Saccharomyces cerevisiae S288C: one gene and its partners. Changing the gene in region 3 together with the main gene of any one other region gives a genetic interaction. Each region holds a gene or a part of one and is shown on either strand. Other genes may lie near its edges.

Region 1 (4,467 bases), on a different chromosome or scaffold from region 3:
TCCATAATCATGATACAGGCTGTGATGAAAACGATTCTACTGTTAATAAATCTATTACTTTAAAAGGCAGAAATAATGAGTCGAATAACAAAAAATATCCAATATTTACTGGTGAAAGTTGGGTCAAACTCACTTATAATTCTCCATCTTCTGCTTTGAGAGCACTGCAGGAAAATGGAACCATATTTCGCGGTTCTTTGATTGGTTGCATCCCATATTCAAAAAATGCGGTGGAGCAATTAGCTGGCTGCAAAATTGATAATGTCGACGACATTGGAGAATTCAACGTTTCTATGTATCAAAATTCCTCCACATCGTCGACATCTAATACACCATCCCCACCAAACGTAATAATAACTGATGGCACTCTTCTGAGGGAAGACGATAATACTCCTGCCGGTCATGCTGGTAATCCAACAAATATTTCAAGTCCAATAGTAGCAAATTCTCCGAATAAGCGGCTGGATGTAATAGATGGCAAATTGCCATTCATGCAAAATGCAGGACCGAATTCGAATATTCCTAATCTGTTGCGAAACCTAGAATCGAAAATGCGTCAGCAAGAAGCGAAATACAGAAATAATGAACCTGCTGGTTTTACGCACAAACTGAGTAATTGGTTATTTGGTTGGAATGACCTATAACAGAAATCGTCCAGCTAATTATTCATGAACATTTACAATACTTCATACATTTATTATTTTGATAACTTTTCAAACAGCATTGTTTTACTTTTGTTTATTGATTTTTACGTAACTGTATATACTTAGACATAATTAAGAAACGTTATCTTTTGTGATAGTTCTTCTTTTTCTTTGGAGAGCGAAGAATGGAATTAATATCATTCTTATTCAATACATTGAACTCTGAGCCTTCAAACCTTTTCTGTCGTGCGCTTAAAGGCGTTTTTCTCAATGGGCTCAGGGATTTCGATGGTCTATTTTGGTCTTGATTCGGCAGGTAAGCTCCGCCCTTCTCTAAATTTTCATTTGACGATGATTGAGCCAAATTGTTATCCAAAACTTTATCCCTATAATATGGGGACATTCTAGGAGAATAATGAAAACCAATGGGATGACTTTGATGGTCAGATACTTGAGAAATGCCTCCATAATCCTTTATTCTGGTTTCACGGGATCCTGGCACACTTTCTGTCATTTTCGGTAATGCCTCAAATTCCCTTTTTTCATAATTATAAACCTCTCTGATTTCTTCGCCACATAGGGAGTGAGTGGTGAATATTCTCGGTGTTTTAGATCTAGTACCCATTGCAGATGATAGAGTATCTATATTGCTGCATTGGTTAATTCGTGCCATTATATGCTTGTCCTCATATTCTTGCAAAGCTGCACTTGATAAAATCAAGTCGTCGTCCACGCTTCTTTGAAATCTCTTAGTTATGATATAATCCAGAATATATTGATGGAATACTATAGCAATTGCTGAAGTAAACGAAACATCAGAAAAGCTTAAAAAAACAATTGCCGTTGGTGAAAAAGACACAAAAAGATTAATCATGAAGTTAGTGGGGATCCATTTTCTTAACTGAAAAAATATCTCATCTTCATTTTGATTAACATGAGGACCGTCATCACGAGATCCTCTGAAAAAATGCTTCAACATAGACCACAAGGACTGCTTATAAATATCTTCATAGTATTCTTTGCTTAGATCCTTCAAGTTGTGTTTAGTGAGGTTTGGGGAGTTGAACTCTTTTTTCAAATGGAAGAGATTGTAAGTCTTAAAGTATCCAAACATGAATTTACAGCTTACGTACAGGTTCAGGGACAGCAGTATGAAAATAGTAAACCTGAAAAGATTATTCAAAAACCTTAAGGTAACAAAATACCAAGATTGAAATGCATAAAATTGATTATTGTTTTGAAAGCTGGATGATATCTCCCATAGATAATCAAACTCTTTTAATTTATTGGATTTAGAAAGATCGAAAGCGCCAGACTTGACGTTTAGTTTGTAATAGTTGGGCTTGATCAAATTGTCCTGCAAGAGTCTTATGATAAAAAAAAGTATTGTTAAAAAATTCCCTAATGGCTTAGCTAGACTTTTAGCATAAGCATCCCAGTTGATCATTTCTAACTTTTCATTTATTACCAACTGCAAGTCTAAAGGAGAAGTAAGTAGCTGATACCACCTCTTCATCCATGCAGATTTTGATTCTCTTTCCTCACCAACTACTTCCGAGTCGTCATATGCTTCATTTATCAAATCATTTGAACCCATTTTACTGCCGAAGGTAAATGTAAAGCTCTCTACTGCACAACAAAGTTTTTTAGGTTGTTCGTTTCACTAACTTCTAAATATTGTCAATCAAACCAGACTTTAAGGAAACTACCACTTGTCCCAACGGCCTCACCCCTTTTAATACGGTGTTAACTTCTTCCTTTATATATTGCAGGGCTATTTTTCCCTCCTTTCGCTATTGAAAGAGATCACTATTCCCGTGCTCTGTTCTGATTAAGTAGGAGGACAAAAACACTTGTAACTTAATCCACCTATTCTTATTATTTCTGGCTAACGTTAGAGGTCTTGAAGCGAAACTGTTTAACATTGTAACTTATTAATCTTTTCGTATAAGCTGTTGCCTGATTAGGAAAGCTTGAAACTGAAACACGCGAAAGTGGCTAGGATAAACCAAGCAAGGGTCCATATCATCGCCGTTCTTATGCAGAAACAACTGCAGTGCTTGTAAAGCTATAGGCAATCAAAGCGTATGCGACAGAGAGTAGGAAGGTCCATAGCTAGGGCTAAATTTATAAATACTGCCTTATTAGGAAGAAAGAGACCAGTTATGGAAAGAGTCGTCGATATAGCGCATGTAGATTCAAGTAAAGCAATCCAACCATTGATGAAGGAACTAGAAACCGACACTACAGAAGCACGATACAAAGTACTACAAAGTGTATTAGAGATATACGATGATGAAAAGAATATAGAACCTGCTCTCACGAAAGAGTTTCACAAAATGTACTTGGATGTCGCTTTTGAGATATCGTTACCTCCACAAATGACAGCACTAGATGCTTCACAACCGTGGATGCTATATTGGATTGCTAACTCATTGAAGGTAATGGACAGAGACTGGCTTTCAGATGACACCAAAAGAAAAATTGTAGATAAGCTCTTTACTATTAGTCCTTCAGGAGGACCCTTTGGTGGAGGTCCTGGCCAATTATCTCATTTGGCCAGCACTTATGCTGCAATTAATGCTCTCTCCCTTTGCGATAACATAGATGGATGCTGGGACAGAATTGATCGAAAAGGAATTTACCAATGGCTGATATCGTTGAAAGAGCCTAATGGAGGATTCAAGACCTGTTTAGAAGTCGGAGAAGTGGATACAAGAGGTATATACTGTGCCTTGAGCATAGCAACCTTATTAAATATTCTTACAGAAGAGCTTACAGAAGGTGTGTTAAACTATTTGAAAAATTGTCAAAATTATGAAGGTGGATTCGGCAGTTGTCCTCACGTAGATGAGGCACACGGAGGCTATACTTTCTGTGCTACAGCTAGTCTAGCAATTTTAAGGTCCATGGACCAAATAAATGTTGAAAAGCTTTTAGAATGGTCTAGTGCTCGTCAATTGCAAGAAGAACGAGGATTTTGCGGAAGGAGCAACAAACTTGTTGACGGTTGCTATAGTTTTTGGGTTGGAGGTTCGGCTGCCATTCTTGAAGCTTTTGGATATGGCCAATGCTTCAACAAACATGCTCTTCGGGACTACATATTGTACTGTTGCCAAGAAAAAGAGCAACCTGGTTTGAGAGATAAACCAGGGGCCCACTCAGACTTTTACCATACAAATTATTGCCTATTAGGACTGGCTGTTGCGGAAAGTTCATACAGTTGCACTCCTAATGATTCTCCACATAATATTAAGTGTACTCCAGACCGCCTAATTGGATCATCGAAACTTACTGATGTCAACCCTGTCTATGGTTTACCAATAGAAAATGTAAGAAAAATTATCCACTACTTTAAATCCAATTTATCTTCTCCAAGTTAACCACATACTATTATATATATGTATTCAATCTCCTTAGCGGTCAGTCTCTTTCCAATTTCTTTCTCTTTACGTTATCATTGTCCTTTATTCGACACTTCGGCGACCGCTTTTAAAACGATAATAACAAAGCGAAATCTTATTGTAACACATCCTTGCTTAATTACATACGAAGCAAAAAGTGAGAGTAAGTTCAAAAACAGCGGGCAATCGTACTCCCAAATTTTGTTGTACCTCATCAATCGGCTTGACTGCGATTTAAACATACCCTTTAAACATGGATATATTTAGGCATACTTTTGGAAATAATGATGATTCCTTTATTCGAATCCCAGGTGCTTTTAGAGAAGAACCACCTGCTGATTTGAATGGAAGGACAGAAGATCAAAACAGCAATACAAATGAACCCACACAGAGCCGGGATGGACGCTTAAAATCAATAC
Region 2 (3,317 bases), on a different chromosome or scaffold from region 3:
GTAGTTCATCGCCCTTGGACTATGTAGGGGTACAAGTAAATAGGCAACTTGAAATGGATCTCCCTATTGAATGAAACATTTAAGGGTGCCCAACCCTTAAGTTGATAGAGCTACTACCGTTCTTTTAGGTTTAACAGTTTCTCCAATAAATTTGGCAATATGCAGGGATCCCAAATTGAAATTTCTGGCGGAATGTATATATTAGACTTGCAGCTGAGTTTTATCGCGTACACTATTCTAGGGACTTTGGACCTAACTCTGACAACAAAAACTCAAGTAAAAAAAAGCTTACATTTTTAAATGATGAGATCTAATATTTTGAAATTATTACAACGGACAAGTAGGAGATATGTATCCTCAAAGGATTTTGAGCCTGTGATAGGGTCTAATCCTAAGAAACAAACATCTAGACTAATGGTCGGTTCTGTGGGTGTTATGATTCCAGTTCTACTTTATTTGTTTTATAAGAACGATAGCAAACATAGTGAAATTAAAAAGATATACCAAAATGAGAAAAAAATTTAAAAAGTTGTTATATAAGGGTTTTCGTATATAACACAGAATGGTAAACCGAGTCACGAAGCTCAATCTTTTTTTTTTATGTCTTTCTCTAACGTTTTTTCGTCTATATTCAAAAAAAATAAAGTTGGTAACATATAATGCATATATTCATTTGATCTAATCGCTTGCTTTTTATTTCAGTAGCATTTTCGTATTGCGTCGCGACCAGAGAAGTATGAGCACCAGAGGTAACACGTATATACATTTATACATAAATATATCTATTTAGTTTCCTTTCTTGGAAGCTTCAGCAGCTGCTACATTTCCAGGTTGATTCTTCTCATCAAAATATTTCTCCAGGTTTTTGACTTGCTTTTGTAGGCCCTCCAGAGAAATTTGCTTTTTCCTTAGTTCCTCTTGAAGTTTGGTGGAATCAGCTTCATTTGAGTCTTTCTTGCTGTTTGAGGAAGGTTTGTTCAATTTTTGCTTTTCTTGTTCGTTGATTAAGCCTTGGTATTTCACCAGTCTCTTGACAATAGACATGACAGTTGGGATACAGATAGAAAAGTACAATATGAACCCGGAAATATACATATTTCTTTGATTGTACGCTCTTGATGCTAGTGCCTGTATTGGAGTTACAGCAGATGACCCGATTGAGCCACTGTTGTCGTTGTGGTATAATGAAACACGAATTTGAGACCTTTTCCATGAATCAATAAACAACAGGCCAACAAGACAACCCGTTATAAAGATTATAGTTTTTATTTGCTGCTTCGCTGTCAATTGGTTATAGGTGCTAAAAATACCCCTACGGATCCGGAATGGCAAAGGCAAAACGAAGATGAAGAGCATTACCATCTCAACAGTGAGCAATAAAAATAATGTCGTAAAGTATAAACTCATCGCAATATTATTTATTCTTCTCGGTTTTCAGTACTTGCCACTTTGCGAAAGGATAGCAGAAAGGAGCGTTGCAATGAACGAATAGCTTTAAACCAGAAACTATACAAGGTCCCACTTGGCATATATTTCTATTTTTGCACTGCGCCAGAGGGTTTAGTAGCGCCCCCTTTATGTTAACGTATCCTGTGATATAGCATGCAGCTGCGGGTTACATGTAAATTGTTCAGGGCATAAGCAGTACGTATCGAGGAGGTAAAAGACGTTGCAAGTAGGTAGATAGTACAATATAGATAAGCCCAACAGTTTGCGTACGCCTTAAAAGTAGTGGTGTTCTGCGTTTATGTTCTCTCCCTTCTTTTCTATCTAGGTTTTTATGGCGCACTTAAAATATTCTGCTGCTTCAACGGGCGGCGATCTACGGAGAAATTTTTGGCATAAAGTCAAACTTAGAAAGAGCACATAAGCCATAACTTCTTTTTGATATGTGAAACCTAGCCCAGGTTGTCGTTAGTAGTACCTGGCCCTTTAAATATATTTTTGTACTATCGTATACTTGTATAACTATTCATCATTTTCTGGTTTGGTAGTCCGCATTTTTTCATTTGATGACTAAGTTGTACGTATTGCTACACTGAGTTTATCCCCTTACTTCGACAGTAAATTGAGAGAATAAAAGTGAGAAGTGTAGAGAAGAAAAAGATTAAAAATGAGCACTGATAACTCACAAAAGGATGAAGGTGTTCCTTTGCTTTCCCCTTACTCTAGTAGCCCTCAACTAAGGAAAAAGAAGCGCAATCAAAAAAGAAGAAAGGACAAGTTTGTTGGTCACTTGAAGTCAGACTCACGTAGGCCAACGCAACTGCTGCATGATAATCTGCAACACAATCACGGCCAGATTACTGATTTCGACCAGATCGATTCCTGGGGCATGCTGCATGAATCTGATTCTACAAGTAATGATATAATAAAAAGTGAGGATCCATCGCTCAAGGGCGCGTTCATTGATCATAGACCTTCAATGAGCCAACCTAGGGAGGGGCCTCAAAGTGTATCAAGCACAGTTCAACCACAGCCAATAATGAAGTTTTCAACACCAAGTTACAAGAAACCCGCAGGGTTAAGACCCTCTGATCAGAATAGATCATTAGTATCGGACTTATCCCCTTCAGAGCTTGAATCATGGCTGAAGAGAAGGAAATCTGTTCATAAGAGTTTTGTTGACGAAAACTCCCCCACCGATAGGAGACAATCGAACGCGAATAATGATGTCGTGATTGATGTTGATGCGTTAATGAACCATGTTAACAACAATGCAAGTACTGGGGTTAATGATAACAGCAAGAGAAGAAAGAAAAAGAGGGGTTCTGATGATAGTAGCAACAAAAATTCCAAATCCACATCCAGTGATTCAAACGATGAAGAGGATGAGTATAACTCAAGGCCATCTTCTAGTCTTTCTTCAAATAACTCTTCTTTGGATGACGTTTGTTTAGTGCTTGATGATGAGGGTAGCGAAGTGCCAAAAGCTTGGCCTGATTGTACTGTTTTGGAAGAATTTTCCAAGGAAGAAACAGAGAGACTAAGAAGTCAAGCTATTCAAGATGCTGAAGCTTTCCACTTCCAATACGATGAAGATGAGGAAGATGGAACATCAAATGAAGATGGAATTCTTTTTTCAAAGCCAATCGTAACTAATATTGATGTCCCTGAATTGGGAAACAGAAGGGTAAACGAAACAGAGAATTTGAAGAACGGCCGTTTAAGGCCAAAAAGAATTGCGCCATGGCATTTGATTCAACGTCCAATGGTCCTTGGGTCCAATTCAACCAAGGACTCAAAATCAAGAATTCAAAGCGGATTACAAGATAACTTACTAGTCGGCAGAAATATTCAATATCCTCCGCATATTA
Region 3 (4,947 bases):
TCGCAGAGGAATCTTTATGGTTTATATGCTCTTTATATAATTTTATGTATATTATAGTAGAAAAAGCAAAGAAAAAAAAGAAAATTGATATTATTAGCGAAGCTTTTTCACAAATTAATCCGTAACAAACAAATTGGCAAAGACAATTGAAGGGAGTAGTGCGAAATATGGGCCGTGATATATGCACATTAGACAATGTTTACGCTAACAATTTGGGCATGCTAACCAAACTAGCTCATGTGACAGTACCAAACTTATATCAAGATGCCTTCTTCAGTGCATTATTCGCTGAGGATAGCTTAGTTGCAAAAAATAAAAAGCCATCTTCGAAGAAGGATGTACATTTCACACAGATGGCTTATTACAGTGAAATACCAGTGGGTGGTTTGGTTGCTAAATTAGTTCCTAAAAAACAAAACGAACTATCTCTCAAGGGCATTCAAATCGAATTTTTGGGCGTGTTGCCTAATTATAGGCACAAATCCATCGGTTCAAAATTACTGAAGTTTGCAGAAGACAAATGCTCAGAATGTCATCAACATAACGTGTTTGTCTATTTACCAGCAGTGGATGATCTTACAAAGCAATGGTTTATAGCTCATGGCTTCGAACAAGTGGGCGAAACTGTCAACAATTTCATAAAAGGTGTAAATGGCGACGAACAAGATGCTATCTTATTGAAAAAACACATTTCTTAACAGATGGCTGAAAAATTTTTTTTTTTTTTTTGGTTTTGCTTTGTATACACATGTATCTATTTTTATAAAGATGAAATATATACGTCTAAGAGCTAAAATGAAAAACTATACTAATCACTTATATCTATTCTGGTGATTCATCATCTTCAGCTTCTGTATCCGTATCGATATCAGTATAATCGCTAGCATCACTTTCATCATCACTTTCGGTTTCGTCGTCATCAGTAGAGTACTCATCATCCTCCTCAGAATACACCTCTACTTGTTCCACTGCAGGAGAATCACGAACTTTCATATTCATGGTAATATCCAAATCTGTAGTGAAATAATCTGTGGATTTAACGATTACTCTAAAAAAGAAATCACCAACAGTTTCAGGTGCAGGCTGACCTAATGGAATTTTTATGGTCCCGATTTCCCAATCATTTATATCGAATTTTTCGTGTTTGGTTAAATCCATTTTTATCCTCTTATCAAAGAAATCTTTGTCATCGTTCAAGTTCTTGTAAGATAGCTTTTCAATGATAATTGGCGTTTGAAGTATTTTACCATCTTTTTGAGAACTTACCAGACAGCACCAACTCCCACGTCTCTTTGTAGGGAAAAATGGTGCAAAGGAATATGGGACGAGTGGCTGTTTACTCATCATAGCAAATGGATCTCTTTGAGATTCAAAATCTTGAGGTTCTGTTAAATTTTCTTCAGGAATTAAGCTAGTTGGTATCAATGGCTGTTTAGCAGAACGAACCAGTACTTTCAAAGAAATGTATGGGGTAGATGATGGTGTTACTTGGTTCTCACCTGGGACAAGGAAGTCTGCCTTGATGATCTTTAGATTTGGAATATGCGATGCAACTCTCAAAGTTTCGTTTAACTTTGCTTGATCCTTTATTCCAAGAACCTCACCAATCTTGGCATCTTCTAAAGTAAACAATTTACCTAATGTATGAATATCTCCGGTTTTGGTAATAAAGTGCTCTTTATCTACGTTCGGCAATTGAAGGATTTGACAGTTTGGTGTTAATGGTACAGCCTGAACAATACACTTGAAAGTATTGATTGCACCCAATGCAATATCTAAATTTCTGAATCCACAAGCAATATCCAATAAACCGTGTAACAAAGAGTGACATTTGGCCACTATTCTAAATTTCGCATTGTTAAGTTTACCACTATCTCTGCGGTTAATATGATCTTGCAAAAGTTTTTCAAAATCCGTTGGTTGCAAATCCGGGAAGAATTGTTTAAATTCATGAGCAAATGATAACCAGTGTAAGATCAAATCTGTGGTGACAATCTCAGATGGCTTGTAATTGACTAAGTTACTAACAAAATTAGAAGCCGTCACATTATGTATTCCCTTCTTAGTATACGATTGTGTTCTTGCCCACCATCTACTAACAAAATATGGCAAGATTAAACCTAGTAGCGCAACATAACAAACCACTAATAATGGAGATGCACTTCCATCTACCAAAAATCTTGGTAGAGCGATACCATGTGAAGTAGATTGTGGGCCATCTGGATGACCGTATTTCAAATAGTTTTGCCTAACCAATTCGTCAGTAAGGGATTCGTAAGCCTTCGTAATCTGAACATAAGTTTCTTCCATCACACTTTTCTCATCAGGTGTTAGGCCCTTTGCTAATTTATCTGGATGAAATTTAACAGATAATTTTCTATAAGCAGATTTGATGTCTCTATCGGAAGCACTAGTAGAGATACCAAGGATTTCATAAGGATCAAATAATTTTGTAGCAGCGTCTTTAATCGCGTCATTACTATTAATCCTTTGCAGAAGAATTGCAACTAAGATCCAACCCACAATAATTATAATATTTCTCCTGCTCCATATTTTGGACTTCTTATTACTATTTTTATCAAACTTCCTTCTAAATTGTTTGATTTCATCACTGGTGTATTCTTCATTCAAGTTCTTGAAAACTTCCTCATTAAACTCCTTACTCTTCCCTGAATTCCCATCTTCAGCATTGGCCCCAAAAAAAATTTGGTATATTTGAAGCAGTGTCATAGGCCCGACGACCATCAAGAGCCCCGTTAAAATGAAGGACGGCCACGTCTCACTAGCCTCATCATACTCGTAATTTGTAGGCATTGTGCTGTAATATGCAGTATATTTATTTTGTTGCGAAGGCCTTCTTTGGTCAATTATAACTGACTATTGTTCCAGTCGCATCTTTTATTCGTTCAGTGATCTTCGACGTGTTCAAGACAAATTTTTCAGAAAACGCCTTTCCGTAACGAGTGACCAATTCGCGTTATAAGAGCGATTGTGTCAGTAATGAAGTCAGATTGTGACATTATAAAGCTAAGACGTTAATAACTCAAAATAGAAAAGAAGCATGAGAGCACCACCTTCACCGAGAAAGTCCAAATCTGGTCATTTTTTTTACCTATATTTTCGACTGTGTCAACTGTTCAGTGGCCGGAAATTAAAGAGGAGGTGGCATGTCCACAAACTTCACATTCACCAATATAATACTCGCTGGAACTTGAGCCCCCTCTCCGAAATACACATTGAGGACATGATAAATGAACCGTCTGGACTATGTCCAGGAAGTTCCAAAAAGAAACCACTACTGATTGCAAGGTTTCCCAAGGGTTGCCAAGAATCACCAAGGGTATATGTACTGCAAAGGAACAATTTGTCTCGTTTAAAATTAAGCAAAAGAAAATATGCCCTAAGGTTCTATCACAATGAAATTTTTGGCAATAATTTAAAGAGAAAAGACGGAAGCATCCACAAAGTTGAACACCAACAGTGCGCAGAAACCGTTAGAAAGATCAAGAAAGTCACAGCAAACCATGCTGATGTTAAAATAATATTTCACGATAAAAATACTATAAGAAGTGACAAATTAGGGGGTAGGAGTAATAAGATGCAGACTAGGCCTAGTGTTCTTGAAGAGGATGTAGAAGAAGAAGTCTCTTCGGTATATATCAGATTTTGTGACGACCATTCCCTGAGAGTTAAAGATTATCACTCTTTGCACAGGCATTCTAAAAAATCTTCTAAAGAAAAACGAAATAATCAGGAGATTGGAAAATCTAAGTTGCTTGGGAAGCTTTTTGAAGAGGAAACATCGCGTCAAAACAAAGGTGTAGAGAAGAAACTAGATACGATTGTGATACAGAAATTTCAAAATTATCCTATTGTCTCCTTCTCTCGTGTCATTTAACAAAAAGATATATACAAACATAGGATACTAAGAGGAAAAGCATCCCAAAAAGAAGAAATGCTTGCATGCCATGTATTACATAATTAAAGAAAAAATTTTATTAACATACTTCCTTATACTTACAATATGTATTCTTTCAGTTCAATTTATTTATACCCGATGTCATTAGTCTCTTCGACAAACAATGCAGCAGACTGATGGAGTACTTTGCCAATAAGGTCAATTTGTTCTTGAGCCCTCTTCCAGTCATCATCGTAAATCGCATCCATCACTCCTGGAAATGTCCAGAAATCTACATTTCCACCATTTTTAGATTTATCCTCCTGTATCAATGTTGGTCCGAACAAAACGTTCTTATAAAATGATCTATTAGGTAGACCCGCCGGAGAGCATGTTCTTCTACCAATATTAGTCAATTTTTTATTCCATGTCCACCTATTAATTGAAAGTAAGGAGGGCTCTATACCATCCCCATGCGACCATACTATGTTCTCCCAACCTTGAGTCCATGACGCCCATTCGCTACCGATTTTCTTCCAAAATAACAAACCTTTGATTATTGATGTGAAGTTTAGTTTTTCAGGGTATGCTTGCTCTAACCTTTGCAATCTTTCATCGATATCTTCAACATAGCTTATTATGTCAAAATGAAGTAGCGGGTCATCAATCAATTCCATACTAATATGTAAAAGATATACTAGCAAATCCTTGACAGATTGTTGGTTCTGTTCGTCTTCCAGAATCTTCTCAACACGTTCAAATTTATCCTCAGATGTTTCAGTTGGGGTGTCACGGTTTCTCGTAGAATCAGAAGATATTACAGATACAGGAATTCCATTTGCCAGAAATGGAGTCCAGTCACCATAGTGCTGTACATTATCCACAGATATATCAAAGTTTCCATGCGCGTTTCTATTGAAAAACTTCTTCAATAAGGGATGTGTCTCAATGCTTAATTCTCCTCTAGTTTTACCGTTCTCATATTTTTCGGCAAAGGGTATACCCAGTTGACTAATATCAATCAAAGAATAAATTTCGTCTTTTAATGG

The links.
Region 1: mutations in SEC63 (region 3) and NUR1 together harm fitness more than expected from each alone (negative genetic interaction), as found in Saccharomyces cerevisiae (2 studies listed by BioGRID).
Region 2: mutations in SEC63 (region 3) and YET1 impair growth when combined (synthetic growth defect), as found in Saccharomyces cerevisiae (2 studies listed by BioGRID, with this or other methods).

The regions. Positions count from the first base shown.
Region 1 is NC_001136.10:294,594-299,060, reverse strand, and holds NUR1 (Nur1p), read right to left. Parts: upstream 2,242-4,467; coding exon 787-2,241; downstream 1-786. Other genes in the region: FG-nucleoporin ASM4, read left to right, coding at 1-644; RAM1 (protein farnesyltransferase), read left to right, coding at 2,732-4,027; clathrin-mediated endocytosis regulator UBX3, read left to right, coding at 4,302-4,467. UniProt on the Saccharomyces cerevisiae protein: Member of a perinuclear network that controls recombination at multiple loci to maintain genome stability. Required for rDNA repeat stability.
Region 2 is NC_001143.9:315,651-318,967, forward strand, and holds YET1 (Yet1p), read right to left. Parts: upstream 1,408-3,317; coding exon 787-1,407; downstream 1-786. Other genes in the region: DPC7 (Dpc7p), read left to right, coding at 304-525; putative Mg(2+) transporter MNR2, read left to right, coding at 2,114-3,317. UniProt on the Saccharomyces cerevisiae protein: May play a role in anterograde transport of membrane proteins from the endoplasmic reticulum to the Golgi.
Region 3 is NC_001147.6:804,210-809,156, forward strand, and holds SEC63 (protein-transporting protein SEC63), read right to left. Parts: upstream 2,815-4,947; coding exon 823-2,814; downstream 1-822. Other genes in the region: peptide alpha-N-acetyltransferase subunit NAT5, read left to right, coding at 168-698; OSW1 (Osw1p), read left to right, coding at 3,062-3,898; TRE2 (putative zinc metalloprotease), read right to left, coding at 4,045-4,947. UniProt on the Saccharomyces cerevisiae protein: Acts as a component of the Sec62/63 complex which is involved in SRP-independent post-translational translocation across the endoplasmic reticulum (ER) and functions together with the Sec61 complex and KAR2 in a channel-forming translocon complex.